4 linked regions of the Lepisosteus oculatus genome follow. Each later gene encodes a partner of the first gene's protein in a complex. Links are inferred from orthologs where the notes say so. Each region holds a gene or a part of one and is shown in the gene's direction. Other genes may lie near its edges. The genes, in order: drc3, iqcd, drc1 and iqcg.

Region 1 (7,733 bases):
CATCAGAGAATAGTGCCACAGCAAACAGCATTAAAAACAACTTTGTTTTTGCTCATATTTTGCTTTAAGACAAACTGGTCAAGCCACTTTGGGAATTTGCTGGTCCAGTGAGGTTTTGACTATATTATCATATTTATTCTTCAGATACAGAGTGTTGGTAGTGTGTAGCACCTATAATCTAGGTGTTTATACTGTATGTGCTTGTGTTAAAATCACAAGGAGATCAACAACTTCCTGGCATGGTAACTTTAGAACACACTTCAAAAGGTTAAAAATAACCCTAATTCTACAAAGATTCCTTAAATATCAGGATTCCTTAAATATGTTCCATCATAGATGTATGTGACATTTCACATCTCTGCTGCACTTCTTTGCCAAATGGGGATCAGTGTGGAGGTTAAAATGATACGAATACGACGCCCAGATCTCCACTGCACAGAAAACAGGCTACTGCACTTCTACAAGACAGTATGTCAAGAGTGGAATTGCTTGAACTCAAAAGCCCATCCTTGTAGGACTGCACTGCTTGCACAACATCACAGAAGAAAGCTGCAGATGCTGAAGTAAAAACACTGCACTTCCATCAGGTCATTAAATTGCCTTCTGCTTCTGGGATATTGCTTGGTTCCGTCTCCATAGTGACTCGGAGCTCCAGATTAAATTATGGTGCAAAGAACAGGCAGGGCACTTTTAATTGAGTAAAGGCGAACACCCCGCAACAGGGAGACCAATGCATGAAGCACAGAAAAGCTACATCATTAAAATGCATTGGGTCAGGTGGTCGCCTGGTCCCTGCCAAAGAGGGAAAAGTGGCATGCCTGCTTTTGTTTAAGACTGATTTTGCAGTTATTGCCGTCAGCTGCTCACAGAAAACATGCTGCAGCCTGCCCAGCCAAACCTCTGCAGACGTCGAGAGAGGTGACTTCGAAAGAGGAAAACGGAGAGCCCTGTGGACATTCCCCGGATCAGCACAATCAAGTGCTCTACTCATAAGGCTGCTGTTCTAGAGGGGAGGTCTTTGACCTCTCCTGGATCGGACAGTTATAAAAACACGAGGAAGCCTGCAGACCAGAGGACGCCATTCGAACCAGATATCTCATCTGGTTGCTAATCATCACTGGCCAGAGGCTGAGACAGCAGTTAAAGACAAAACACACACGGCTTTTGCACACAACTCAAAATCGATTTTTTTATTTGCATATAAATTTATAACCGTGTCTGCGTCAGTATCATTAATCCTGTTGTGCATAAAGTGGATCAATGAAATATTCTGGCTCTCTGGTAGGGCGTGTGCGTTAATTCCTTCTTTTCTGTTGACACTCTGCAAAGAGGATGCAAAAATGACACAAGATTTGGGTCTAATGCATTCAGAAACATAACACTTGAGATGAGCAAAACTACAAACATCTGTCTGGGTTCTGGAGCAGCTGCTATGCTTTGCCAAACTGTCTTCCTCCCATCTGGAAAGCAGTACACAACAAATCCACATGCTGATGGGGACTGGCAGGATTGGCAGGGAGAGGCTCTCATAAAGTATGTGGTTGGCATTTGCCTGTAAGCTATTAAATACAAACGATAATTACCAGTGTTGCCAGAAGTACTACATCTAAACAAATGCTTCCAGATTAATCTATCGGTCAATCTGATCTGGAAAGGATGCACATTATTATATTAAATTTAGACTTAAATCTCTGTGACAGCTCTAGTTTACAACAGCCTCAGAGGCTTAGGGTACTGTACTTCACTACCACACTTGGACACAGCATGAACATGTCTGGACGTCACACAACTAACACAGAAAGATTTCTGACCTCCAGAAACACCAGCCTCGCAATGTCCTGTTGTCACATCAGTGTAAACACAGGCTTCTTCGCTCCTGAGCCACACTTGTGAAAGCTAGAAAACCAGTCTCTACAAACCCTGTTTTAGGCAGGGTCTCACACAGTAAAGGTCACTCTTTCACGAACTCAGTCATCCAGTTATAACTACAAAATGAGACTGCAAACTGGAAGAGTAAAACTGACAAGGAAGAGCTGTCTGATATATTGCAGTCTTCTCAGTCCCATCGTGGATAAGGCTTTAAAACTCCACAGTGTTCAGGCCTTACTTTTATTCTGTGCACACCAGTGTTATCTTCTGGGCTGAGTCCAACCCTTATAGCACCACCGCTATTGCACCCAAGCTAATAAAAGCTGCTGAGGAGCTCCAGTTCTTATCAGGGCATATCTCAAAAAAGATTTCAAGAGCAAAGAAGCCCTGCATCATGGAGAAACACTCTCCACTGCATAACAATCAGCACACCAAGCAAATGCAGCGGAGCACAAAAATAACCGCAGAACTCACTGCTCAGATTAAACTGGCCCCATCATAAAGGACTCACAGACTGTGACGGCAAAGAAGCACACTGCCCTTTTGCCCGTGAAAAGAGCAGTCCCTGGCCCTGACACATGAGACCCACTCAAACTCATTCAAGCAGCGAGCCTGCGGTCTCACACTCTTATAGCAATCGCACAATCGCACAGTGATTACGGCACCGCACAGTGTGCCCGCAGTTACACTCCACAGGAACACAAGTTGTGATAACCAGCATTGTCAGATTTAATCATTCTTTTTGGTGTGTTAAGAAAAAAACTGTTTGTCAGTTCTCTGGACAACAAAAAAATCTGTGCAGAGAACTGTCAGAATGACAGATTGACCACCATTGTACAATACACACTAGCTCATCGGCAGATCCCCACTGCTCAACTGCTGGTTAGGAGCTACCAAGTGAAAATGAACAGAAACTCGCTTCCAGGAGAGGATCACCTTTGCAGAATATGAAATAATGAGAGATGGTCAGCAACTGGGAAGCCACAAAAAAAACAGTCATAATTGTCACAGGAAACTACAGAGAAGTGGATTTAAAACTAAGAACTGGAAACAGTACTTCATGCAAAGGGCTGTGGGATTACTGAACATGTTACCCAGCAACATTAGCTGCAGTTGATAGCATTCAGGAAACAGCTGGATGACATCCCTGGATCAGTGAACTCCTCATTGCCGACCAGGCTAGCCGGGCCGAAGGGTCTCTGCTTGTTTGTCTCCTGTCTTGTGTTCTGATGGGTTTACTGCTGAGGTCTCAGGGCACACGCTCTCGGACTGCGATCGCAGAGATCCAACTGTATTTTCTTCTTTTGCTGAACTTGAAGTAGGCAGTTGTAAAACAGCCTCTACAACTTTTGACATTATTTTCTCTGCATTGTGAATCAGCTGTCGAGCCCATAGGAAGAAAGCTCAGGGCACCTGAGAGAAAGGATCTCTTTCTTACGCACAGGCATGAACACTAACATACTGTTGCACTAACGCCCCGATATTTTGCCAATGCTATGTACAGTACATGGCTTCACCATACAAAAATGGTTTTAACTGAAGGGCACGATGAGACTACAACTCACCACCATCCGCTAAAGGCGGTTCTAAGGCCGCCCCCTATCTCTACAGTGGAAATACGCGACTCTTGTATTGAATTTCCTCACTGATTAATTAATCGACACACCGTGAAACGCTTTTATTCTGATTTCCCCGACGAATACACTGATATACCCCCACAGCACTCATGCCTTCTCCGGAAGCAAGACTTCAAAAGCGTGAAAACACAAGGATTGCGAATCGAGGGTAATAAGTCCTGTCGCCAGAGATCCTGGTACATTACATCACAGCAAGATTGTACATCACGCAATTCCAGGCCAGCTCAATCTATTTTCTATAGCGCAAAGAGTGTGTTTGTAAGTTTCTTAAGCATACAAAATAGCACGTATCTCGGGGCTCATTTTACGACACTCTACCGTAAATATGTAACCTGTCTGGGTAAAGTTACGTTTACGGTATCTCTGGAAAGTGACGTATTTAATGGACCCCTCAGTTCATCGCCCTTAACAAAAAGAATAAAGCAGACACCGTCGAACAAAGTGACTAACTGTCGCTGTTGTGAATGGCGAGTTTCAAACTGTAATGAGAATATTTCTCTCCACACAGCAAACATTTTCAAGAGCATCGCGATAAAAACGAGGCAGGCGATACCCGAGCTCTAACACACTTCAAACATACAGAAGACGATATTTAACACATTATTAACAAAAACAAATCTTATTTCACTCTGGAAAATAACCATAAAAAGCCAACCACATTTAGACAGGAGCTAGGATAGAGCTGGTAATTCAATTAGTTGCGTGACATACAACACACAAAACAGCTCTTTACACTCCTCCAAAACACGAAAATACCTACGCAATATGATGCGTATGAGTGTTAAAGCTCTGAAAACACAAACATAAATCACAATTACCTATACATTGCCCCACCGGAGTGCTGTACGGATTTCCCAATAAAAACTCCATCTTGATGACAACAAACAATCCTCACTGACAGGCACTGAACAGAGGAGCTCCCGCTGTCTCCGCCCCCCTGAGCAGCTGATTGGGCGGCGGGGCTAAAGCTTCGATCTAATTGGCCAACCTCCACGTCGTTCCAAGTTAAAGCCTACGCAGACGCCACCTCTAGGGGGCGATCGCTGGTGGGCATACCGCAGGCCCTCCCAGGGGCCGGCTGGCCTAAGGCGATTTGCTATTGGTTAAGATCTGCGCGATGGACCAGCTGTACTGATTGGTTGTTCACCCCAGCCCTCGCGCGAAGCAATCGTTCTGATTGGCTGAGAGCGATGTAACCCTCCAATCGGATTGGTGCGTAAAGGTCTACGTCCTTCTCGGCGGGGCAGGGGGCGGGTTGATGGCGCTTTTATCTTTTATAGGCGTAGGCGTTTGTCAATCTTGCCTAAATTACAAAAATAAAATGTGGAAATAAAAACATTTTATTTACAAGGATTATCAACAAGTTATTGTGGAAAACGGAGGTTGTAAAGCCTAGGTTACATACGTTTTTATAATTAATTTAGATGCGTTGAGTGTTTGGTTGCTAAGTAACGTGAAAAGCGTCTGGCAATAGGCGGGTCTTCAGAGAAGAGTTTAATTTCTCAAAATTACGATTTACTAGCTTTGCAACTGGTATGTTGGTGTCTTATTCTTTTTTTTTAAAACTAAACTGCACTAATTGCTAAAGTCTTTGAAATAAACTAATTTGATCGTGAGAATATTATGTGTATCGGTATTATTCATACATTTTATATTATTATTTATGCATAACTTCATGTTAAAAATGTCGAATCCGTCATGTCTGTGCTCGTTTTCTCTTGCTTGTAATTTTATTTGCGAAGTGAATTGCGAATATTGTTGTTTTTCCCGTTTCAGTAGGTAATGAATGAGTAAACACTGCAATGCCGTCTAGAAAAAGTAGCTCTTTACAACAGGAACCTTGAATTTAAGATGCCTTTCTCTGTAAAACATGATAATTCAAAGATGCCTCCCTTCCGTTAAACGAGACGTGAACGTTTGCATTAGCATTTAAACACCGGGCGTATTTTGGGATCCTATTTTCAAACTGCATCTCTTTGTGTCCCCTACTAATCTGTCTCCTTCTCCTGCATCAGAGAGACCTCTAGCTACAAATTTAGCTACAGCGAAGGCGTGCAGCGCTGCACAAACTGACATTTTGGGTACAGTCGGATTGCCTGCTTCATGAATTAGTAGTGAGATTGTTAACCAGACCTTGACCACGCTGTGTGACAGCTGTTTGAGATACTGAAAGTCCCTCAGCCTTCACAGTTCAAAGACACAGCATCTTGATACCTGAACAGCATTAATATTTCACCAGTGCGGTCAGGCCTCAGAGGCAGACTACACACTGCAAAGCACAAACTGCTCCCATTTGGTGGCATCAGGCCTCTGTGTCCAACAGCTATCACCTTTCAGCATATATCCTCCCAGTACTCCAAAACGAACACTTCTCGTCTCTTTTACTTTCTGTTCCAAATCCTCTTGGTTAAAGAGCCACAGATCTTATTTTTCTGGGAAGGGGGTGGGGCAGAATGCTCATAGGTGAAGCCTGTTTATCATGGGTGAAGCAATCATTAGGTGGTGGAGCTCATTGTCTTCCAGTCTTTAAAAAGTGGTATCATTTAATGCAACCGCTCCAGGAGTTGCTTGTGTGTGTGTGTGTTTTTTGCCTGGGAGCAGGCAGAAGCAGTAACAGGGCCAACGAAAGCATGAGCCGGCTGTACGACACCGTGGAGCCCAGCGTGGTGGATGAGCAGATGCTTCAGAAGGCCGTGGAGGAGCAGGGACCCCAGGACCAGGCCGGGAGCATCGCCAAGGAGGAGGGCATCCAGTATGGAGAGGTGTGCCAGCTGCGCCTGGACTACAGGAGTGAGTCCCAGGGGGCGCTGGGGATGTCGTGGGGATTATTGGTTAGATGTGATGCAGCTGTTGAGTCCTTGGGCAGATTTATTTAGCAAAGGCCCTATTAGGGCAACCTCCAGGCCATCATAGAGCTTCTTTCTACTCTGGTTAATTACACACAACAAGTACAACGAAGTGGCGTTACATGTTCATTCTGTTGGGGAGTCTGAGGGGCATTAAAAAAGCAATTCTGCTGATCCTTTTTTTTGGTGGCTATGTTTTGATTTTACTGTTGCATGTCAGCACCAGCTGAGAAGACTGTTTTCTCAGGAAAACTGTTGCTCTTTGTGCCTTTTCACAGACATCCTGAAGATTGACCACCTGTGGCAGTTCACCGCGTTGACTAAGCTGCAGCTGGACAACAACATCATTGAGAAGATCGAAGGGCTGGACTGCCTGACCAACCTGGTGTGGCTTGGTAGGTAGCAGAGTACCAGGATGCAGGGAATCCCAATTTAAGGATTAGACACTTACAGACCAGACCCGTGGTGAGGTGCAATACAATTAACTCCATTTTATCTGCTGTGTTCATTTGCAGTAGCTTATGACAAGGTCAGAATAGTTGAATGTCAAGAAGCCTCTATGACTGAGATGCAAGTTCTCCATCGTTAATATCTCCTATCAAAATGTGAGGTAGCATTACAGTTATACACCACAAAAATAATGTCTGACTTATTTCATTTGTGTTTAAGTGAACATATTTTACAGGACCTCTTTTCCCTCATCATAACATTCAATGAAATATACTCTGTAAAGTAAATAAAGTTATTACTAAAATAAATATTCACAGTGTGACTTTTACCAACAAGCTCTACCGCTTTTTCTCTCAGACCTCTCTTTCAACAATATTGAGGTGATTGAGGGTTTGGACTCTTTGGTGAAGCTGGAGGATCTAAGCCTGTACAACAACAGGATCTCCGTCATCGAGAATATGGACTCCCTTCAGCAGCTGCAGGTCCTTTCCCTGGGAAATAACTGCCTGGCCCAGCTGGACAACGTAAGGCTCGGCAATGAAGTCACACTCAAACGCCCGACAGACACCTGTTTAGTGCCTGAAACAATTAAAAGGCAGTGAGCTTGAAGTGGGCGGGTTGGGGCAGCCTTTCTAAACTTCCTCATTCTCCCCCTGGGTGATCGCAGGGTTTGCAGCTGCATTCGGAGACACAAAAACACATCACTGGCAATTATAGTGTACTTGAGGAGGGCAGGACGCAATAGGTAGGTGATTCTAAATTTAGAAAGAAAGTTTAGTGGGACTGAGCTGTTTCACATTTATTTTGTGTACAAATTTTAATATTTAGCTTTAAATATTGTCTTGAGAGGGAAAAAGAAATGTGATCGTACAAAAGTGAGATGCAGTTTGTTTTGTGACAAGTCTTTCACTGTGAAAGAACTTTGCCAGGT
Region 2 (7,946 bases), on another chromosome or scaffold:
TTGCATGGAGTTTGCATGTTCACACCGTGTTTGTGTGGGTTTCCACCTGGTGCTCCGGTTTCAAAGACATCCTGGCAGGTTAATCTGCTTCTGGGAAAACTGGCCCAGCTGTGAGCGTGTGCCTGTATCTGCCCTGTGAAGGACTGCCGTGTGCCCGGTGCCTGCTGGGACAGGCTCCAGCTCCCGCGGTTAAGGAGTGGATGGAAGTACGAGTCTCACCCCAGAGCAGAATCAGAAGATGACACACACACTGAGCACACTAAAATGCTCTTTGACTGGATATGTTTTAGACTGCACATCAACAATCCAAATTACTGAGATGAACACAGCAAAGCAAAGGACAGTCTGGTGAATGGTGAGCTCACTTGAACGTGGCAGTGTGTAGCTCTGTGTATCTGAGCTCACTTGAACGTGGCAGTGTGTAGCTCTGTGTATCTGAGCTCACTTGAACGTGGCAGTGTGTAGCTCTGTGTATCTGAGCTCACTTGAACATGGCAGTGTGTAGCTCTGTGTATCTGAGCTCACTTGAACGTGGCAGTGTGTAGCTCTGTGTATCTGAGCTCACTTGAACGTGGCAGTGTGTAGCTCTGTGTATCTGAGCTCACTTGAACGTGGCAGTGTGTTGCTCTGTGTATCTGAGCTCACTTGAACGTGGCAGTGTGTAGCTCTGTGTATCTGAGCTCACTTGAACGTGGCAGTGTGTAGCTCTGTGTATCTGAGCTCACTTGAACGTGGCAGTGTGTAGCTCTGTGTATCTGAGCTCACTTGAACGTGGCAGTGTGTAGCTCTGTGTATCTGAGCTCACTTGAACGTGGCAGTGTGTAGCTCTGTGTATCTGAGCTCACTTGAACGTGGCAGTGTGTAGCTCTGTGTATCTGAGCTCACTTGAACGTGGCAGTGTGTAGCTCTGTGTATCTGAGCTCACTTGAACGTGGCAGTGTGTAGCTCTGTGTATCTGAGCTCACTTGAACGTGGCAGTGTGTAGCTCTGTGTATCTGAGCTCACTTGAACGTGGCAGTGTGTAGCTCTGTGTATCTGAGCTCACTTGAACGTGGCAGTGTGTAGCTCTGTGTATCTGAGCTCACTTGAACGTGGCAGTGTGTTGCTCTGTGTATCCCACTTTACAAGAAACCAGAGCCACATTGGGCACATGATGTCACCCTGTTCGAGGGTGAAATCCTGTCCACGTCAATATGCATCCTTATAAAATAAATATACACATCATAAATATTGTCCAAACTACAAAAAGTGATCACATTTGTCCATTTAAAAAACAGCACAAGTGAACTAATACCATTTTTCTGTGCCAGGATCGTGACTCCAGTGGAAGGCCGTGGGGGGACTATAATCTGAAAGTTTACTAATGCAGCTGAAGTTCATGGACGCTTCAGTCACTCGGGAACCACTTCTGTCCAAAGTGACTTTACTGTAGCAGATGCCAAAAGTTGCAAGAACAACAGCTGCAGCAAAGTCAGTAAGAACATTGCAAAGCATAAAGCTGAAGATGGTTTAGTGATTTGCTCAGGGTAACACACAGTGATTTAGAAGTACATCCCAAAAATAACCCACTTTTCTTAACCACACCTTTTCCTAGAACACCTTGACTTTTTAATGAGCTGCAAGTAAAATATTCTTCTGTAAATTAGCACACTGACTGGTGGCTAGATTAGCAGTGACTTCTCTTTTGTAGACAAATGGCTTTTGTTAGCCTTCATCTGCAGTGACAATGTTCCATTAGCATTCTAGGGTGAATCAGCGTGAAAAACACTATCTGGCGCATGACACTGACCAACGTCAAGCAGCAAGCGGGACACCTGTGAGTCTTGCACAAAAAGCGTGGATGAAGACATCCAGCTTAAGCATCTTTCACATCTTGGGGCAGATCCATCTGTTCTGCTTTTAAATGTCAATTAAAATGTTTATACAGCCAAATACAGCCGACACTGTTGACCAATTTCACCACTGGTTAAACATGAAATGAGATTTTTGAATAGGAGACTTATTCTGCATATATTTTCTACAAACATGTTGTGCTAGTCGAAAATGCTTCTGTGCTTTAATCCAAGTGTAACCCATTCTAGTGAAATACTCTGAATTGTGCCTGGTAGATTCTGTGCTTTTCCTTTCTCTCTCCTGAAAGAGGTTAAACAGTAAACACAATTAAAAAAAAAACAAAGTCATTCTTCCTGGGTTGTATCCTGCTATGCAGATGATGGAGGTCTAGAGTCTCTCCAGATGCGTGATTAGCACAGACAGCAGCTGGCTTGCTAGCTATAGCTCTGGCGCCCTCTGTGGAGCAGTCTAGGGGTTCGCGCTGCTTTTTGGCTTTTCCAAACTGCCACACAAGAGCCAAGCAGACATCCTGACGATCTGCCCAGGACATCCTCCACTCCTGTGCTGCTGGAATGCGAGACGTCTGTGGTCGCTAATCACGCCTCGCTTTAAACCTCTTCCTCTTCCTAAACCTTGGGTGTTGCAACAGCACCGCGCTCCACCCACCCAATGGTCAACTGAAGCACACAGCCATTTGCAAACACATGCAAAAAAACATGTTGCATTTCACCAAATTCTCACTGGATGTTTTTGCTGCTGCTGCGATTCCTTGCATGGTCATCTGCTGAGGATTTCAATTTCAAGACCTCATCCGATCTCTAATTCATCAAGTTCCTCCACTAGTAATGGACTAGAAACCACATCCTTAAACATCTGCATTGGCTCAAGATTTCTTTTCACAACCAGTTTCAGTTGCATTTGCTGGAAATTAAAACAAGGTTTGGCTTCATCTTTTCCTTGTGTGTGGGTAGTGTTTAGGCCTCTGTTTCAATGAACTGCTTGCTATGGATACAGGGTTTGTGACCAGTCCCAGGAGGAGTGCATCTTGGTGGAAGCAGAACTTCTTACATGCACTGTATCACATTCCAGATCTTCGGAAATATCTCCCAAATTACATCCAAATCAGCATCATGAACAAGAGGCGCAGTTACTGGTCACTAAGTTGTTTTAACTCATTTAGATGAGACACAGATACTTGGTATGAAAAAGCCTTGTTTTCTTTCTCAATTCCTTTATTTCCATGTAGAAAATGAAATGGTGACATAAGAGCCTAGAACTTGTCCCATTGGCACAGCTCCTGATGCCTTCATCAGTTGAGATACAACAAATTTAGGAATATTAGAGAACAGACACAATCCAATTATAAAAAGGTCATCAGCCCCAGACTCGCATCTGGGCATCCCTGCAAGGTGCCAACAAATCCGTTTCAACGCTAAAGCACAGCGAAACGCACTGTTTTAACATCTAAAGGCTGTAAACTGCTGTGAAGTATAAATCGCTCTTAGAGGACCCAAAGCTTCACCGTTCTATCAATGAAACTTGTGTTGCTTTAGTGTCAGAATTTGTAAAAAGCTTTCAGAACTCCTCAGGGACGGGCATTAGAAAGCGGTATATAGTGAGAGATTAAATTGGAAGTTTTAAAAGCATTTGATTAAGGACTTAAAGCAAAGAGAGGAATAAAAGTTAAAGCATTAAAAAGACCAATGGGTACAAAGATCACTTTATGACAAAGCTCGGGGGGAAAGCCATTATGTGAAGGCCTTGAAATCTTCCAAACCCACCCTTTAATGATGGACAGAATGTACCTCGTTACAGTGGGTGTAGACTGTGAAACGAATTCAATTATAATCCGTTTTAAGTGAAACACGACAGGCAGCTATGGGACACAACAGACCTTTAGCTCTGGGCGTGCACTATCATTTCGTGCTAGGTCCTGTCTTTGCAAATTGAACGGTGAACACGAAATTTCCACACCGGGACTCGGTCCAAGAGCACCATCACTCACCCAACAGGAGGGAAGCAAAACTTACTTTCGCTCGTCACCTCCGCGTTGTCTGGCTCCTCGCCGCCCAGCAGTCCGCAGTTGGCTTCGTCCCAGGTCAGGATGAGCGGTACGTCGTCATCTGCGTTGCTGGCCATCCTCCGAAAAGGCCTGTCCGGGGCAGGGCGACCCTCGCTCGCTGTCTGTCCCACAATCAAGCCACCCTACCAAGTGGGTTTCTCGTTTGGCTTATCCAAAACTTCTCCAGCTCCTTTTGCATAATCAATGCCAATCGTCTCGGAGTGGTAAACTGCAACGCAAAACCAAGAGCCAGCAGTTCACCTGCTACATCCACCAAACTGAAGAGACTGAAGAGTCTAGCTTCAGTTTGTTGACAGGTTTAGTTTTAAAAACCCAGTGCGTTTTATTGTGCCAACGCCGCTACAGGACACTAAAATAAAAGCAAATATCGGATCGTATTTCAAGCGCTATAAATCTCTTTTTACTAAAAGAAATCTAGTCCAGATTGTATTTCATGTACCGACCATCGGAGTCATCAATGTTTCTAACGTGTACATGCATTTAAACGACTTAACATGATTCAGATAAAAATTCAGTAACAAAACTATCCGATTTTGTGACGTTATAGCGCTAAACAGAGCTCCTCCGACAGCTTCTTTAGGTTTAATTTCTTGAGTTAAGATATCAGAGAGAAAAACGGTCTCAACTTCTGTCTGTTGTTGATAATAACAACACGACGATTTATTCTGAACTAGTGAAGAGCTGTCATGTTTTGAGTTAAGCTAGCTTCCACTAACCCCAACGTGCATATCTTCCAAAACGGAAAAAAATAAAAGCAGGCTTTTAGGTAACCTTCGCGGAACCAAAAAAACATACCAATCCTTTAAAAAACATCGCGCAAAAACATTCTTGTTACATTTTGTAACCAGACCCTGCACAGCATTAAAGAGCCTGAAGACAACCAGCGCACAGGCCCGCCTCTGCTGCGATGCTATTGGCTGGTGTCTGTTCTCTGAGTCCGGTTCTGCCCTGTGAGTGGAGAACCAACCTGTCAATCAGAAGCGCCTCGACTCGTACGTGGGGATGAGAAAATGGCACGTGACGCGCACATCTCTGACTCGTTTTTTTTACAATTGTCTTTACGTCGCGTATAAGAAAATAAGGTCTTTAGCTCTCAGTTAAGCCGTTCTGGAAGTCACATGCATTAAGCATAGCTTGCGTCTAAAGTTTAAATGCCGAAGCAACGTCGTCTGGTATAATTCATTATAAAGCAGTTAGAAATGTATATAAAAACTGCGCTTTAACACTAGGGTCAATGTTTTTTTTGGAAAGGCCGTGAGAAACTAAAACCATTCAAACTACATTCCCAATAACGTACAGGGATTGCTTCCGGTCACGATGCTGCAGTTCAAGCGCTGATTGGCTGTCAAAGCGCCGCCTGCATTGCGGTTTCCTAGCAACGCAGATAAACTGCAAGCAGAAACAAGTTCCCATTGAGGTAGGTGAGATATAGCACCAGTCTATTTTTTAATTATGCATACATTTATTAAGAAACATGTGTTTGTGTTATGTGTTTGGTCCGTTATTCGTAGCTGTATTCTATGTTGCACTGGACTTTTTAAAATAAAACTTCATGGTCTAAAAAAGGAAAATAATATATTACAGTTCATTGTGTTGATTGTGTATTTAGCTATTAACAGTAAAACTGCAAAGTTAATTAGAGGCGTCAGTGTAATATTATTAAAAATCATGTAATCTCCTAAACACGTTTTCTCTGCTGAACTGTAAATAACTTTCAGTTAAGTTCTCAGGAAGTTCTCAGGAAGAAAAACGTGAAGAAAAACTGCTCCTCCTGATTCCTTCACGTGTCGTTCTGTCTCCAGGTGACCCCAGGACCTTGTGCTGTAGCTGAGCGGTGTCTGCTGAGGAGCAGAGGAGCCTGGAGACCGACGGCTCATGGCCATGGAAGTGGCTGTGCTGCCGGTGGGGGGTGGCTGCCGACAGGCCGCCAGTCCCAGCCCTCAGCCCCGCGCGAGCGGCGCCAGGGAGTCTCTCAAGATCCTGGACCCGGCCCGCAAGAAGCTGAGCTCCCTGGAGACGCAGCGGGTCGCGGGCGTTCTGGACGAGTGCATCGCGAAGGTGGAGCTGGTGGCCCTGCTGCCCACGGTCCTGTCCGGCCTGGAGCGGCTGTCGGTGGGGCTGGGGGCCGAACTCGCGGGGGCCCTGCGGGAGCACGAGCGGCTGGGGCAGATGCTGGCCGCCCTGCGGGAGAGGAGCCAGCGTCAGGGGCTGGGGGGCGAGAACGAAGACCCCCGGCTCCCGGGCCTGGAGCAGGCTCTCCGCAGCTCCCTCCGCAGCGTCCTGAGGCACCTGCGGGCACACCCCAGTGCCACCCACAATCTGAGAGGGCAGGCGGGCGCGGGCGGGGGGGCTCCGGGACTGGCGTGGGGTTTGGCATGGGGGCTGACGGAGCTGCGCAGCCTGCTCTTTGAGAAGCTCCTGACCGGCCCCGCGGAGGAGCGAGAGAGGAGCCGGTACATCCAGGAGGTGTCTCTCCGGCACCAGAACAACGTGGGGCTCATCTCCACCCTTGAGAGGGAGGTGGCTGCGGCCGCCCGGGACAGGGATGCTGAGGTAGGCAAGGGGCCCGTTATGCGTTAGGAGATTGACAGTCCAGGTGCTGTCCCTACGTCCTTTTAAGAGCATAACCAGAATGCAGGGCTGCATTGACTTATTTCAAGTCCAAAGTGTTCCTCATGGCGGTGTTAACTCCCATGGAGTTGGAAAGACAGAAATGATGTGCCGTGATGGCAGCCTCTGTATCTAGCCTGCACACATATATTGTACATATGTTCATATATACAGTGTTCTGTCCAGACACTCAGTGTGCATAAGTGTTCATAGATAGATAGATACTTTATTGATACTTTATTCATACCGCCAACCCAAGCCTGGAAGGGCTGGTATTTTCAGTTTCCTGTGGTCAGTGTGGTGTGGAAATTCTGTGCTGTGTTTGTTATGGTGCTGTGAAGATTTCCCCAGAGAACGTTTCCAGTCGCGACACCAGCCACCCTGTCTCCTTGCTTAGATTTCCAAGAAGAATGAGGTCATCCGCAAGCTGAAGGGCTCCCTCCACCAGATGGAGAAGATCTCGGAGGACTTCCTGAAGCGAACCCGGCAGGAAGCGGACAAGCAGACGCAGTCCGACCACAAGGCCTCGGAGAGCCGCTGCGGGCGCATGCAGCAGGAGATGGGGCAGCTGCGCGGGCGGCTCTGCGGCCTGATAGCCGAGAACCGCGAGAGCGAGCTGGCGCTGAGGAAGGTGCGTTTCTTTTCAGTTCCAGGGACCTGAGCCCATCCTCCAGTTTGAACCGAATTACAGTACTAATACAAAAATAATCTCAATTGCCTGCGGCTTCATTTCATGCCAGATTTCAGTCAGTATATTTAGTTATTTTGTTATTTCTGCTTAGAATGTTTGCCAAGTAGAGATTTTTTGAGGCTTGGAAGATCTTTTGAGAGCAACACGGTGGTGCAGTAGCAGCGAAGGAGCCCTGGGTTCAATCCTGGCCCGGCTGTGCTGTCTGCCTGTGTGCTCTCTTCATGTTTGCATAGGTTTCCTCTTGAAACAGATGTCCTTTTAATCACAATACCATTATGGTTGTATATGAGCAAATGTTATTCTTTCCTCAGATGGAGGGTCTGTAGTGGTGGCCATAATGCTAAACAGTGAATGTTGCATTTTCAGAAAAAATAGTTCTATGATGTAAAGTTTTAGAAACTGGTGCCCTGCAACTATTTCATTTTCTCAAGTATAACCTGCTTCTCTACAGAGGAAGTACAAAGTGGAGACAGAGATTGAGAACTGGATCCAGAAATATGATGTGGACATGGGTGAAAAGCAGGTAGAGAAAAGTTTTTTCCCTTCATCCATAGTCATGCACATGATTATGGCGAGAACTGCTCATTCCCAGATATCAATAGAATAGAAAATATATCTGAATTAGAATTCAGTCACTCACACAAATATCTCACACAAACTCCCAGCCCCGAGCCACACAGCAGCCTTCCGAACAAGGGTGAATTATTCTAGAATAAGGCTGGCTTTCTG
Region 3 (7,136 bases), on another chromosome or scaffold:
GAAGAATTTGTCGTTCTCCAAATTCTGGTGAACACCTTTATAACTGGAGTTGTAAGTGTATCTGGAGTCTGTAGCAGGTCTTAATATTTGTAATTACTGCGACTATTTTAAGGACATAACATTTAAAGCTTAATAAAGATAAATAATAATAAAAAAATTCTGTATTGTGTAACATTGCATTTTGTTTGAACATTACCAGTTCTATATTTGTCAGTGCTTCAGGTTTCTTATGTAATTACTCAATAAAATACATAATTGAAAGGGTGGGAAACTTCTATATGTCATGAGGTAAGAGTTCTTGTTAAAACTGAGACAGTTGAGACTGAGTTATGAAAGCATATGTCTTTGGACACTTATTGCATTAAAAACTGAGAAAAGGGGGCACGTGTTTAACAGAGCAGTTGTAGGAATATGTCACGTGATTGAAGCTGTTACCAAAGAGTGTTTTTCAAGAAATGGCTGGATGAGATCCTTGGACCAATTAAAGCCCAACTACACAACATTCTAGATGGGTGAACGTTTGTAGCCTTTTTCATGTTCTTATGTTTACAAATTTTGTGTAGTCTTTAAAGAGCATAATCTGAGATGATTATGAGGCGAATGTTGGCAGCTCAAAGTCATTATAAGGAAAGGAGAAAAAATTAAAATATTAGAAAAAATACAATTTTCCGGCACATTGAAGGATGTTAAAAATGTATTCCTAGTTTAAATACATATATATTGTGGACATCTGCAGCAATGTTTGTCAAAATTAGAAGTCTTGCTTCTTTTTATGTGTGACTTTACTCTGTTGTATTGATCGCCATCTGCTGGACACTGATGATATGCATTTCACAGTAGCTACTGCTACTAACATTCTTTCTGTACAGACCTGTATCCTATTTATCAAGGCTGCCTCCCTGGACCCTGTAGGTAAATAGATACCCGTGTTGAGTGTGGTCTTCATTTAGCAGTGGCTTGATGATGATGTATGTGAAACGTACATATATTCTCTACAAACACATCAAAAAAACGTATCACTCTGCATGCTTGAGGAGTAATGAAGTCTACATGTTTAGGGTATTGTTTTAACATTTGGTGAAAAGCTATCCCTTTCTTAACCTCTTTCTCCAATACACGTGAAGGAGCTGGAGCCTATCCTGGCAAGCAAGCAACAGGCGCAAGGTGCAATACACCCTGGATGGGAAGCCAGTCCAGCAGTGTACACACAGACACAAACACACTCACACCAGGGCTAATTTGAACTTGAACTTGAACTTTATTGCCATATGTAACCGGTACTGGTACAATGGAATTCTTACTTACAGAAAGTCTCTCGTTTGTAAAACAAGTGTAAAAAACAAAACAAAGTGCAAACAGTGCATCAAGACAATGTACAAACAAACAATAGACAATGTGCAAGTAAACATGCAGACAGTTTGAATGTAAACAATACAGACGTGTAAACAATGACTGGAGACGTACAATAAATAAATTACAATGAGGTAGATGGTGATGGTGTAGGTGTGGTCCGAGGGGGATGGCTAAATGTGTTCGCCAGTCTCACTGCTTGTGGATAGAAGCTATTGAAGAATCTAGTGGTAAGTGACCATATGCTCTTATATCTCTTGCCTGAGGGCAGTGGGGTGAAGAGCTCATGCCCGGGGTGGTGACTGTCCTCTGTGATGGCCAGAATTCTACCACGGCAGCGGTCCTCATAGAGCTGTTTAATCTCGGTGAGACCGCAGCCGATGATCTTCTGGGCCATATTGACAGTTCTCTGCAGTGCCTTTTTTTCTCGCGAAGAGGTGTTGCCATACCACACGGTGATCCCGTTGGTGAGGATGCTCTCGATAGTGCAGCGGTAGAAGTTCACCAACACATGTATTGGCATCCCCCATCGCTTGAGGCACCTCAAGAAATAAAGGCGCTGCTGAGCCTTCTTCATGATAGAGTCAGTGTTCACAGACTCTATCATGAAGAGTCTGTGAATTTTCCTGGAAACCAATTAACCTCCCAGTATATTTTTCTCTTTGGGAGGAAATCAGAGCACCAGAAGGAAACCCACGCAACAGGACCTCAACCACATACCTGATGTTTTTTGCTAGGCTTTGGGTAGGTATTGAAGTGGGGGGTATCGGACCCAAGCTGGATGCCCCATTTTCTGACACATGCCCTGCACTTAATGGGAGAGTTAAAAGATTAAAAAATCCATCCAACTGGCCATGTTCAATGCAGAAAAAACTTGAAGATCTTGTCGCACCTCATAACAATCTGCTGACCCCTGTGAGCATTTTAACAGAAGCCCAAACAAGAAAGATGAGGAAACACACAACCTCTAGGATTCTGTGCAACGTTCACAGAGACTTAGTCTGGAGTTTCTTCACAAGTGCTTACGGGCATGAGCCTTCTTGTACCACAGGTGTCTCACTCCCAGCCCTCGATGTATTAGAATGGGCTGCAGTGAGGATGAGACTGTGACCCATCCCCTGTGGTCCTGCCATTTTGCTAAGACTTTTTGGGCTCAGTTTGAGGACTGGTTACAGGCCCCCTCGCTTCACTTTTCCCTGACCCCTGCCTTCATAATATGCACTATTATGTCAAACGCTACCCTCTGACATGTTTGACAGGATTTGGGCTATAGTGAACAGTGGAAAGGATGTCCTCTTGAAGGGTGAGGAACATGGGGGTGTTCAAAGGCATTGAGGTTCCAGTTAAGGGAGCAGGTAGCCTGGTCATTATTAAAGACAACTATTATCTCAGAGATCTATGGAGTGTAGGGAAGGAGGAAGCAGAAAATCTGTGGATCGTAGGATCATGTCTCATAACCCTGTGATACTGATAATCATGTAAGGAAAAATAGCATTTTTCATGGAAAAAACATCAGCAAATGTGTATGGAATTGATTCAAAGTGACGTGAGATAATGCACCTCAGCAATTATATTTCTGTTGGCTTTGTAATTTTCTCTAGATGTGTGCATATACAGTATACTGTTTTAGGTATATACTGCATAATACTGTACAGTTTTTCCTTTTGTGTTATTCTGTATTTGTGAAAAGAAAATAAAGTTCTTAAGAAACAGAAATGCAAACACAGAGAAATAGCAGATAGCACCCCAGGTCCAGAACCAGTCTCCCGTGCTGTGAGCCAGCAATGCTAACCACTGTGCCACCGTGCCGCACTCTGGTGAAAATCATGAAAGAAAAATACAAAAATTAACCCATAGTCTTACTTTCTCAAGATAACAGCACGATGTGTCATCATTGTTTTGGATGCACTATTGTAGTGTATTCACAACCAGTTCAAAGCCAGTCCGTCAATGATAAGCCCCAGTCTAGGAGACCGTGAGTAACCACACCTTGCTAAGATCATCATACATATCTTAAGGTCTGGGGCTAGAAGCTACTGATCTCCGCATCAGATTAAAGTCACTCTGTTATTAATGTCAAAACTCTGGGACATTGCTTGCTGCTCTTGCTGTTATGACTTATTCCGTAATAGCTAGGCGATACAAAATTTGTCATAATATTCCTGCAGGCTCATCCAGACGTGATTCACTTTCAGCCTGACAGTGCAGGCACTGACAGGTGCTCATGTAACAACAGCTTTCTTGGGAAATGAGAGAATGACAGTTAAACCATAGATGCCCTACCTGTCAAACCTGAGCCCAGCTAAATAATTTTGTGATTAGGATGGGACATCAGTGGCCTCGACAAATTCAATTTACTTGTTAACTCTGCATGCAGACCACTGACAGGTGAACAGACATGCTTGTCCAGGCTCTACAACTGGAAAGTTGGAAAGAATCTCACAAGTCAGCATGGTTAAAAGTATGTGGCAGGGATGTGCAGTGTGTCGTTTCTACACAAACAGCCCCTGACGTTTACAGTACAATAGACCCGTTGATCAAACTCAAATGTTAATCAGCATAATGACTTTACCTGTCATAGCAGCTGCTGCACGAAAGTTCTGATAATAAACTTAAGACGTTTTTACAACGATGTATATATATATATGAATTAGATTGTCAGTACGCTGTATATAAATACATAAAAATAAAGAAATAAAACAGGAAAAAAGTATTTGCTAAAGCAGCCCCACAGAGATTGCATTAAACTCTACTGAAGATGACGTAACAGCAGCAGTATCCTAGCAACAAAGAAAACAACAAAGCTTCCTTGATGTGTCGGTGATACATACTGTAGGATGACGCCTGGCAGATAGTAGCATTGATTAAAAGACATCAGTGGACATTTACTTACACGTTAGTTTGCACTTTTTGAAAAATGAATCAGGCCGAGAATGGAGGGGAAGAGCGAGAGGAAAGTGGACCATCGGTGCAGTCCGAAAACCCGGAGGAGCGAATAGCCGCTCGCCGCCTGCGGATAGCAGCTAGGATTGAGGCGAAGAAACGGTATCCAACAGCCAGAAACAACTCATGTGTTAATGCCTATATCTTGAACTCGCTATGTTTGTTTGTTAAAACTGAATCATGGAGACAATAATGAAATAGTAAAACGCATTCATACCTAAGCACCGCGTGTAGTTGTGACGATTTAGCGAAACATGTCTCGATTCAGTTCCCGAGTTAGACAAATGCTTAAATTAACTTTTGTTATGTCTCGCAGATAATAGACGACTAAACTAAGGCTTAGAAAGTTTTGTATGTTGTTTATGGCGGCACAGAAGCGTGACGCTGCTGGCTAAGAGCACTTGATTTGAGACAGGGGCACCTTCTGTGCGGAGCCTGCATGATCTCCCCAAGGCAATGTGAGAGTTCTCGGGTGACATGCTGGTTAGGGTAATTATCTGTCTGTCCAGGGTGTAGTCGCGCCTTGCATTCTGTGTTTAAGCGATTGGCTCTGAACTCTGGGTGCTCTAAATGGCTTTGAATGCTCTGGGTTTTGTAACCCTCGTAATGAACTCATACTGTTTTTCTTGCATGCTGAACTGTTTTACATTCATGTCAAAATACTCAGAGAAGCTCTAGGAGACAGCAGCCATGAAAAGAAAGATAAGGAAGAAATGAGAAAAAGCCAGAAGCAGGTGGAGCAGAGCTGTAAGGTTGGTGGTACTTATGGATGTCAAATAGTATCGTACATATTAAAAGTCTCTTACAGAATTTATTCCAACTGTAATATGATTTTTATTCCTCAAGACTTGATCAAAAATATGTTTATCAGCAGCACTAAGGTTGTCATCCCTAGTTTTTTTAAATAGATAATAGATCATTATCTAGTCTGAAAGACCCGATTTCCTCAATTTGATCCATGCCAAATTTTAGGCTTCACAAGATGTGTAAATACATGTTGTAATGAAATATAGTAGAGAATTGTGTTGAAAGCTGTTATTATTTGTATTATCGACAGTGCCTTATCTCATTTAGCTGATTCTGATACTCACACTTTGTTTTCGTGTCGTATGGTTTCTTTATACAAATAGATTTTCTACTACAGCTTTAGGCCATGTAGAGCACAGGTGTCTATGACTGAGCCATTGTATTTTATTTCTCACAGAGAATGATTAAACTGCAGGCTGATGGGACAGAGCTGGTCACCAATATTCAGGTAGCAGGAGACTGGAAAGAGTCTCAGAGGAGGACTGAAGAGGAGGAGGCAAGGAGGCAGAGGTACATGAGGAACATAGCTGAGTCCCTCCTTCACAAACACAGCCATTCAGCAGGAAATTACAATACCTTTAAAAGTCTCAGACAAATGGCTTTTTTTAATCTTTCTTTACATGACTCTTTACTCAAATAGCTTCATATTCTGAGAGACAAATCTTCAAATACAATATCTGGAAAATGTTAGGCTACATCTATTATTACAGTAGAAATACTATAAACTTTAGCGGATTCATGAGTTTGACAATACAGGATTCTCAAACAATTTGATGACTTTTGTTTGATTAGATTGTGTTGTAGAAAGACTGTTCAGTAAGCTTTAAAATATCTTTATAATGGTCCATGAATTATTCCTAGTCACTCATTTATTACCTGTAATCATTTATTTTTGTAAATGTAATTGACAAAATGTCAGAAGATTCTCCATTATGATGTGAAAGACCTTCAGAATTGCTATCTGAAGTATACACAAACTATTCCCTCTCAACAGTATACTAGATTATTCTGAAGTTATTTACTACTATGTCACATACTGTATCTAACCCATTCTGCCCTATGAAAGAACAGAGAAGCTGGAAAGTGAAGCCAAGACCAGTTTGGAGAAGTTTGAGGAAATCACAAAGAAGTGGACATCAGCCAGAATGAAGGAGATCCCTCAGGACTTGAGGGAAGCACTCAACATGCAGCAACAGCAATGCGCTCTTCTTATTGAGGAGAAGAACAAGCTCATTACTGACCTACAGCAGGTAAGGAAATCCTGGATGATGGGGATCCATCCTTTTTCTAACCACTTTATCCCACGCAGCGTCATGGGGGACATAAGGACATAATATTAAAAATGTTTTTATCTAAAGTTACAAACCACGTGAGACCCAGCAAAAATAATGAGTACATAATTATGACTATTCTTCCTAAAAATTCCATCTTTGAGTGTGAACCTTAAACTTTCTTGTAGTACTGTTTACTATTTTATGTGTATGGAAATCAACAAAAGGTTTTCTTTCATTTATTTAGATTTTGTTCTTAGAGGAGAGATTGTGGTTTCTTTACACTCAATTTCTAGCTGTTTCCCAGTTATGACACAGAGGTACTGTACAAATATGTTTATTTGAGACTTAACCTATTTCAAAACAAGCCATGCTCTGCCAACAGGAACTGAAAGCAAGTGATGATCGCTACGTTAAAGACTTGAAGAAACAAGCAGAAGACATCGACCTCATGATTGAGAGAATGGAAGAACAGATAAAGAATCTGATGAAATCCTACAGAGAAGAACTGGACCAGATTGAGGTACCGTAGATACATTTCTATTGACATTTCTACCTGACAGTAACAAATGATGCTTAAAAGGCATTGTGGATTTTTGGGAGAGGCAGAAGTTTTATTTACTACTTTCTATTTTGAACTGGACAACCTTGTTAGCTTTATCCCTTCACACATCTTTTAAGTATTTCATGAAATATGGACAGCATGGTAAATGCTTCAAGGATTTCAAGAATGAGTCATGAAAACCCCTATGCGTCTTTCACAAG
Region 4 (7,990 bases), on another chromosome or scaffold:
AAACCCAGTAAAATGAAACTGCAGGTGTAAAAGGAAGCCATGGAAAATCAGCCCCACAATTGATAGTGAAACCCCTGCTTGTCTAAGACAGCCCAAGTTTACGGGCACACATACACACCCCTCGAGGAAGTGCTCTCTACTGCAGCTTCTCAGCACATCAGATCTGCGCAGCAGCAGACAGCTCCTTCAGAAAGAAACACTGCAGACACCGCTTGATTTGGACCAGTCCTTTTATTGTATGTACACAACCACAGCACATTACACCCGTGATGGATACAGCATCTGCAAGAGAAGGAAAGGGATTAACAGTGACAGTGCAGTGTGACGCCGCAGATCTTGGAGCTACATGGGGGAAGTATAGCTGTCAAGCAGGAAGAAGACGGCTGCCTGCGACAGGTGAGCTGCATGTTGGTCAAATGCTTTAGCAAACAAAGTGTCCGATTACTGTAAATTACAGCTGCTTAACCAACAGCCCATGCAATCCATTTTAATAACATACTCATCTCCAAAGACATCCCTAATTGATTATTTAAAAGATTAAGATAACAACAGTGGAGTTCGCCAGAAAGGCTGGAAAAAGTTAAAGCAAAAATCTACACTTCTTCCTCAATCATCCTGTGTTATAGTGGTATTACCGGGAAGAGGTGGGTGCATGGAAAAGGACAGGCAGAAAAGGGGAAAATCTGAGTCTGATGTCATTTCAGATGGGCAACAGAATGACAACACAAAGCTAAGGAGCGATGAAGGAGGCTGACCAGTTTATAAGTGACCACAGCTTTGGAAGGAGGGATGAAGAGGGTGTCGTTCACCCTCCCTCCAGTAGCTCACCCAGTGGTAGTAATGATGAAGAGGCGAGAGACAGACGCGAGGAAGAGCAGAGCAAAGGCTGGACACTCACCACTCTGATCCTGTGCCCAATGGCCTTGGCGGGCAGGTTGCTGCTGAACTTGGCGCGGATCATGCCGCTGTTCCCGTGAGCGCGCATCACCTTGCCCCAGATCACGCGCGTCTTGCTGGGCTTGCCGCCAGGAGTCACTGTGTTCCTTGAGACAGAGGGAGAGCGAGAGAGGCCTCAGTCAAACAGCAATTATTCAGGCAGCTCCAAAACTGCAGATATCTTCTAACACGGAATGAAAACGAGCACAGACATAATCGAGCAAACGTGACCCCCGCAAACACAAAACTAAATAAACAGCAACTCTTTAATTTGAATGAGCGACGGAGGGTGTATGATGGGATCTGAAGACAGAGACAGGAAAGAGAGAAGAGCTGTGAGGGACAGCAAGAAGGCTAATGTCAATCTTGATAAAAATGGCATCTGTTTCTAAGCAAAGGATAATCTGATAAGGGAACAAAAGCCAACCCACCACTAAATGCGGCCACACATCCCCTAACTAACGGCCTTTGACAGAAATGATTTTATTCTTTATTTGAAAGCTGCTCTTCCTTCAGTGCTGCCTGTAATACAGTCATATTCAAAACATCACAATTCTGTATGACACAGGGCTATAAACAAGAACAAGAACCATATTTTAAGCACAAGAGGAAAAACGCAGTTTGCAAGGGAAACTGCCCTGACACACAAACACATTCAATGAAAAATTTAGTATTGGCCCTGTCTATGAAACAATGGTAAGTACCTCATTAAATGTTAAGTGCATAATTATACATCCCTTATATGTCAAGAACACCTATTCTTTTAATATTTAATACGTTTTTTGGAATAACAAGTGGCAGGCGAAATGATGAAGTGCCTGCAGGTACAGAGACAAGACAGTTCTACATGCAGATGTGTATTACCGAGCTGCTAGCAGTGTGCCACATGTGTAAATAAGTTTAACCTTCTCCAATTATTAAACACATCATACAGATAAAAAAAAAATCTTAACACTGTTCCAGCTGTGCCTTGTTTGAACCATGCCAGCTCAATCCTCCTGAAACAGACACCAGACACAAAATCTGTGTTTGCTGCTGCACTTAGAGGGCCAGCAGAACTTGGCAGCACATCCACTTCAAGTCCAGCAGCAAAAGAACAAATATGGACAATGCCATAAAACTATACAGCACAGCAGCACCATAAATGTGCTCGGTTTTTCAGAACAGATCTCTAAACAAAGAAGCACGTTTCCTGTTACCAAATCCCTAAACCTTACCGTCCACTAACTGGATTCAATAACTGAAACTGGAAATCTGCCTGCTTAAAGAAAATGAGATAGAGCACTAAAGCAGCTGGGCGAGGTCTTCTATATACAACATATATACACACATGAGGACTTCCCACTACCCACTAGTAAATGTGGACCCAGGTTGGGGAACCGGCTTAAGAGAACTTGTCAGCTTCTCTCTGCAACACTTAAGTGGCATACCAAGAAGAACCTTCACAGGCACACCCAGTTTAACACTGGTGCGCCGGCAGCATTGGACTCACTTCTTGGCCTTGTAGACGTAGGCGCAGCGCTTGCCCAGGTAGAACTCGGTCTCCTCGCGCGTGTACACACCCTCGATCTTCAGCAGCGCCGTGTGCTCGCGCTGGTTCCGGAGGCCTCGCTTGTACCCTGTGAAGATCGCCTTGCACCACAGTCTGGGGGGGAAAGAGACCAAGAGCCCTTGTCAGAAGACAATCACAGCCCCAACAAGAGACTGTCCACCCTGCAGCACGATCCACACTCTTCATTGCCCCTTGCAGACACTGCAAATGTTTGTAATTTTATTAGATAGGATCACGGTTTTGATACAAACTAGGTATCTTAAGTGAAGAGCCAACTGGCAGAGATCATTACTGACTGCATGTAAAAAAGACAGCACTCTGATCCATGTCAGGTTTTTAACTGAAGGCTCCTATACAAGTGGGAAAGCGATGCTTATCGCACAGCACTGCTGAAGGATAAGCAATCTAGGAACTGAAGACTGAACCTGAAATCACTGCACTGCATTGCAGTGGCCAAGCTCGGGACACCAGAATCACTTACCGAAGGAGTAATTAGCAGCCAAAGGCTCCCACTTGGATATTAAACTTCACATCTACTTTCTTCAAATACTTGAATCTGTACTGCACTTTTCATCCTAATTTGCATATAGCAGGGGATCTATTTCATCCATCAACTGAGAGACAGCTGCAACTTTCTGCAACCCCACCTCACTGTAGATCAGGTGGAGAAGTGAGAAGAGCATATGGAAGTTAAAAATCACTGAAATGCATCACACCGGGTAATACAGGCAATCACTCAATTCAGAACTGAGCTCTGCTTGTGTGTAAAATAGCCTGCTGTTTTAAAGGGTATATCCTGTGGAATAAAGCACATTGGAGAAGTGTTAGTTTAAACCAGAGATAACCCACCAGTTTGCCACAGCACAGTACCGATCAAACACAAACCCTTCTGCTTCCAAAAAGAACAGATTCTGTTCCTGTTACACTCCCACTGCAGGAAGGTCGATTTTTAAAATTTATTATTCAGCAATGCTCACCAATACAAAGGCAGCTCCAAGAATACCTGATTAGTGAGAAACAAAGGACTCACCTTCCTGGCATTGTGAAGCTTGAGTATTCAGTCACAGCCAAGCCTGGAGATGGACAGGGAGCACATAATCAGCACACAATAAAATCATGTTAGTCTAAAACACAAGGAGCTATACACAGATGACCACTTCTAGGTACGAAAGTTACTTTGGGGGAAAAAAACAACACAACCCAGCTAAGAGAGATGGACCACGGCTGAGGATTTTAGCTCTACATCACGGTAACGCACACTGTATCAATAGTGACAGCTCCTGTGGGAAATAGCAAAGGACATCCGTTTTCTTTGAACACGTACACATTTGCACGAGGAACTACTATCTACACGAAACACATGTAATTCATTTTAAAAGACACTATTGCTGAAGGTTCATGGTCCGGGCAACACTGTGCACTTTCACGATTCTACCTATCTGAGCTGTGAGGGACATGTAACTGCTGGGAAAAACTGCAACAAGTTCAGCCACGATATTACATTAAAAGGGCCTGACCGCCACAGTTCCGGTTAGACACAATCGGAAGCAAATAAGGTGTCGGACTCGGCAGTCGAGAAACGAGAATTCATACATACACCCAAAACGGCAGCAACCGGGGACGTATATGATTTCGGGGTACAAACACCGTGTATATGACTACACACTGCATAATAGCTCCCACCATTAACACTCACTGACCATACAGCAAAACTTCAGTCAGTAAGGCAGAAATGAATAAAACCATCATTTTATAAGAAAGATAAATGGTTTCCAATTTTAAAAATCACACCAGGGTTTTGACAGTTACAGGGCTCGGAGACATTCTTGTATTTTTAAATGGGAATCTAATGAATAAAATTGAGTTTGAACGGCCGAGGCTCAGCTCCTGCGAAGCCGGGGCATTTTACATTTCACCCGAGGGATTCCAAGCTAAATCCACTGAGTATCTCGGCCATCTTCAGCTCAAAGGCTACAGCACTGGTAAAACAAGCCGTATAAGACTCACGGCTGTTTAAGATAAGTAATATTATAGTTACTATACTTTTAAAAACTATTTAAAAACCGGTTGATTCTAAACGCTGTTTATCTCTCTCACCTGTACTGATATCCAAGATGGAGGAAAAAGGGGGGTCCTTAGGGCATGCTGGGAAATCAACACCATCGTCGCACGAGTCGTGACTGAAACAGCGCCTGACTAGAAATGTGCTTTTAAAAGAAGTACACTAGTTTCTTAAAAACATTTTTTAGTTTTAAAAAATCTCAGAAAATATTTAAGTTCCATATGTCCAAAACTAATCATTCGCTTTGCGTTTACAATTTGTTGTAACAGGCAATTTTATAGACTAGCCTTTTTACTTCGCTTACTTGCATTTGTTCCTCAGAAACTAAATAAAGTTTCTTGTCCACTAAAATAAACTAAACATTAAGCTTCAAGTATATACTTCAATATATATATTGTATTTACTAATTTAACATGAACAAAAAAAAGTACATGCAACTGTTAAGCTTGCTCACCACGGTTGTGCGGTTGCCATGGTGATCGGTGTCAACATCGAGCAATTTTCACGAGTTGGAAAAGTAACCTGACTGAAACGGTGGTTAATCTTTGCGACAGTATTATTATTTTGTCTTTGAAGTTTTAGGAAAGTTATTGATCAGCAGTTACAGACATCTATTTTAACATATTGGATCGATTCATTTCATTTTTCTTGCAGCAGAATTTTGATTTTGAGATTGGTAGAAATTGGTAACCTATTTGAAAGTGTTAAAAGACTATTTGAAGTCGCTAATGGGGAATGGGAAGTATCTATTGGACCTGCAATGCTTACTGACCTTTCCAGCGTGCACACTGTTAATATTAAAACTTTGATTAGATTCCGGTTTTTAGTGCCGAGTGGGCTTTAGAAGGGACGCCCTGAGACAAACTGTACTGTCAGTTACATTGATATTGACTTTGTCAGTCACACCGACTATACAGTATTAACGTACAATATCATTCAATCTGAGTTTACAGTATCTGCGTAAGTGACATTATTGAAGCAACCTGCATAATTGTACAATCTGCACACAGATCATTTGTACTAAGTTCTCATTTGCATTTGCAGTGCACACGATGTCTCTCCAGTCGTATGTGGAGCAAATCCGGCTGTGCACGGTTCTAGAAGACGGCGCAGATCAACTGGCCGTGCTGGGTCACATCATGCCTGCCACGTACGAGGGGCGGCCTGACGCTGACTCGGTACTCTCTCACCCACAAGTTTGTATCTGTCTCAATGTGTCATGTCTGTCAATGTGTCTCTCGATGTGTTTTCCTTTCTGACATGTTGTCTTCGTGTACTAATATATGTCTCAGAACCCGTAACACTGTCCGTTGTGTGAGTCTCTCAGATTATGCTGGGTCAGGTGTCTCAGTTTCTCTCTCTAGCTGTATGTTGTTCACGTCTGTGGCGAAGAAGACATGCTATTCTAAATTCTAGTTTATACTTATACCAGCCATAGCTAAATAAATACAATTATATTTTATTCAGGAAATCCCCAGAGGGGAAGATTTTAAAAGGCCTTGTTGAATTTTGCAGTGGACGTGAAGGGTTTAGGAGTGTTTTATGCCCCTTTATGCAAACTGAAAGTTCAGTTTTTGAATAAAAGTTGAGAATCAGTCATTTTCAATATAGACATATTTAGATCTATCTGAATTTGGAGGGCAGCCAGGGTTGAGGACAGGAGGTGCAGGTCAAGAGGTGTGTGGGACAGAGGGAATCATGGGTTGAAATGATGGAGGAGGAGGAAGTGGATGCTACATTGTCTACAGACCAGAGTGAGACCCGTCTTTTCATGGTTTAATCTGTCAGATTATGTGTGTGTGTTCAAGTGTCTTTGTGTCTAGGTGTCTCAGTGTGTTTGTCTATCGGATTGTGTCTGCTCACTTTGGGCAGGTGTTGCAGCAGCAGGGGCAGAGATGTATTTCACGGAGATGATGTAATTGCAGTTGCAGGAGAGGGCAAAGCTGGCACAGGTCACGGGGGCGCTGCAGAGGACCCAGGTGGAGCTGAGCCGCATGCTTGAGCACAACCCCCTGACCCCCGAGCACCTGGTCAAGGTGCAAAGAGACAGGTCAGTTTTGCAGTGAATGGGCTCTCTCTCTCTCCTGCTGTCTTACTATCTCTCTACTTCCTCTCAATTTCTGGCTCTCTAGCTCTGCAAAAATCTTGCATGCGTTACGGAATTGCATATAACCTAAGTCCACTGACCTACTCCTCTGTGGAGCATTCCTATAGGTCAAAAGTCTGAAAGATACAAATAAAAAATACATATGATACAATGTTGAAATGGCAATTTATTTTTGACCCTTCCCAATCTGTTACTGACAGTTGTTGATCAATGTGGCACACACCATTTGATATGCTCTCTATCCCATCTAGATGTGCTGTTTGCAAGCTCTCTAGTGCCTTACAGGAGCATTGGCACTGATTGAACGAACATTATGACTCTCATTGATGGTGCTGTAGGGTCTCCTGCTCGGCCAGCTCAAACCACCGAATGCTACTGGCATCTAGCATGCTGGGAATCCAGGCATCGAAGAAGATCATGATCCTAGCCCGAATTGTATTGGATACACGACTTAATCTATGATTCAGAATGGTGTTTTTACAATTAAACCACCTGTGAGATGAAATTAAAGTTAAATTTAAACATTGGACAATCAAATCTCTTTGCTTCTCTTTCCCTTTTCTTTCCTTACTCTAATTGTCTGTCCTTCTCCATCTCACTCCTCTCTCTGCCTTTTGCTCTGTGTCCCTCTTTCTCCTCTCTCTGTCTTTCTGTTCCTGTCTCAGGCAGTTTGCAGCACAGGTGATCTCCGACGTCCTGGCTGAGCTGCAGGAAAAGGGCACATTCCAGAGCTTGCTTTTGGCTGTCCAAGCGGAAAAAGAGAGGAAGGCACACCTCCACGACATCATAGTCAGGTCAGCCTCTCAGTTCTAGTCTTCAGAAAGTTTTGGTCTCAGTACCAGGCAAAGTGGACATCGGACATTGGCAATGACTTTGTGTGGGCGTGTCTGCATGCGCTTTTTGGCAGGGAAGAGGAGGGGAGACGCAGAACCAGAGCTCTGCAGAGACAGCTTTTGGATATCCGCAAAGAGAAAGAGCTTGAGCTGCAGGTATAAAAACACATTCCAATGAGTGACACACACTATTGCAGTATAATAACTCAAACATGCCCTTGCAAGGATGTACCATATTATAGTGTAATAACATGGGCATGCCATCATTACATACAGTAATAGCTATGCTTTATAACTTATCTGCTCTGTGTCTGACATGTCTCTCTCTCCTCACCCCTCACCCCCAGAAGCGGGAGGAGATGATCGCCCACATGAAGGACCAGCTGCAGGAGATGAAGGCCAAAACTGGGCTGGAGGGGAAGTATGTGAAGAGCAGCGCGGAGCTGCAGGTGTACCAGGGCCAGAAGCTCAATGGACACGCTGAGCAGCAACTGCAGGAG

What was found.
Region 2: drc3 (region 1) and iqcd share a complex: the UniProt entries of both Homo sapiens proteins name them as parts of the nexin-dynein regulatory complex. The link is inferred for Lepisosteus oculatus from reciprocal best matches to the Homo sapiens genes DRC3 and DRC10.
Region 3: drc3 (region 1) and drc1 share a complex: the UniProt entries of both Homo sapiens proteins name them as parts of the nexin-dynein regulatory complex. The link is inferred for Lepisosteus oculatus from reciprocal best matches to the Homo sapiens genes DRC3 and DRC1.
Region 4: drc3 (region 1) and iqcg share a complex: the UniProt entries of both Homo sapiens proteins name them as parts of the nexin-dynein regulatory complex. The link is inferred for Lepisosteus oculatus from reciprocal best matches to the Homo sapiens genes DRC3 and DRC9.

What each region holds. Positions count from the first base shown.
Region 1 is NC_090714.1:17,590,746-17,598,478, forward strand, and holds the start of drc3 (dynein regulatory complex subunit 3), read left to right. Parts: upstream 1-4,729; 5' UTR 4,730-5,039; intron 5,040-6,104; 5' UTR 6,105-6,136; coding exon 6,137-6,296; intron 6,297-6,630; coding exon 6,631-6,747; intron 6,748-7,159; coding exon 7,160-7,326; intron 7,327-7,733. Other genes in the region: TOM1-like protein 2, read right to left, coding at 4,325-4,376. UniProt on the Homo sapiens protein: Component of the nexin-dynein regulatory complex (N-DRC) a key regulator of ciliary/flagellar motility which maintains the alignment and integrity of the distal axoneme and regulates microtubule sliding in motile axonemes.
Region 2 is NC_090717.1:14,355,292-14,363,237, forward strand, and holds the start of iqcd (dynein regulatory complex protein 10), read left to right. Parts: upstream 1-4,941; 5' UTR 4,942-5,333; intron 5,334-5,718; 5' UTR 5,719-5,791; coding exon 5,792-6,469; intron 6,470-6,923; coding exon 6,924-7,157; intron 7,158-7,668; coding exon 7,669-7,740; intron 7,741-7,946. Other genes in the region: tpcn1 (two pore channel protein 1), read right to left, coding at 3,864-3,972. UniProt on the Homo sapiens protein: Component of the nexin-dynein regulatory complex (N-DRC), a key regulator of ciliary/flagellar motility which maintains the alignment and integrity of the distal axoneme and regulates microtubule sliding in motile axonemes.
Region 3 is NC_090697.1:51,221,139-51,228,274, reverse strand, and holds the start of drc1 (dynein regulatory complex protein 1), read left to right. Parts: upstream 1-4,130; 5' UTR 4,131-4,267; coding exon 4,268-4,395; intron 4,396-4,960; coding exon 4,961-5,045; intron 5,046-5,497; coding exon 5,498-5,610; intron 5,611-6,166; coding exon 6,167-6,350; intron 6,351-6,756; coding exon 6,757-6,894; intron 6,895-7,136. UniProt on the Homo sapiens protein: Component of the nexin-dynein regulatory complex (N-DRC) a key regulator of ciliary/flagellar motility which maintains the alignment and integrity of the distal axoneme and regulates microtubule sliding in motile axonemes.
Region 4 is NC_090708.1:16,856,483-16,864,472, forward strand, and holds the start of iqcg (dynein regulatory complex protein 9), read left to right. Parts: upstream 1-4,976; 5' UTR 4,977-5,004; coding exon of another isoform or gene 5,005-5,024; 5' UTR 5,025-5,084; intron 5,085-5,117; exon of another isoform or gene 5,118-5,510; intron 5,511-5,594; 5' UTR 5,595-5,602; coding exon 5,603-5,746; intron 5,747-6,475; coding exon 6,476-6,600; intron 6,601-7,322; coding exon 7,323-7,451; intron 7,452-7,564; coding exon 7,565-7,646; intron 7,647-7,837; coding exon 7,838-7,990. Other genes in the region: rpl35a (large ribosomal subunit protein eL33), read right to left, coding at 259-282, 899-1,043, 2,429-2,581, 3,519-3,561, 4,586-4,695, 5,005-5,024. UniProt on the Homo sapiens protein: Component of the nexin-dynein regulatory complex (N-DRC), a key regulator of ciliary/flagellar motility which maintains the alignment and integrity of the distal axoneme and regulates microtubule sliding in motile axonemes.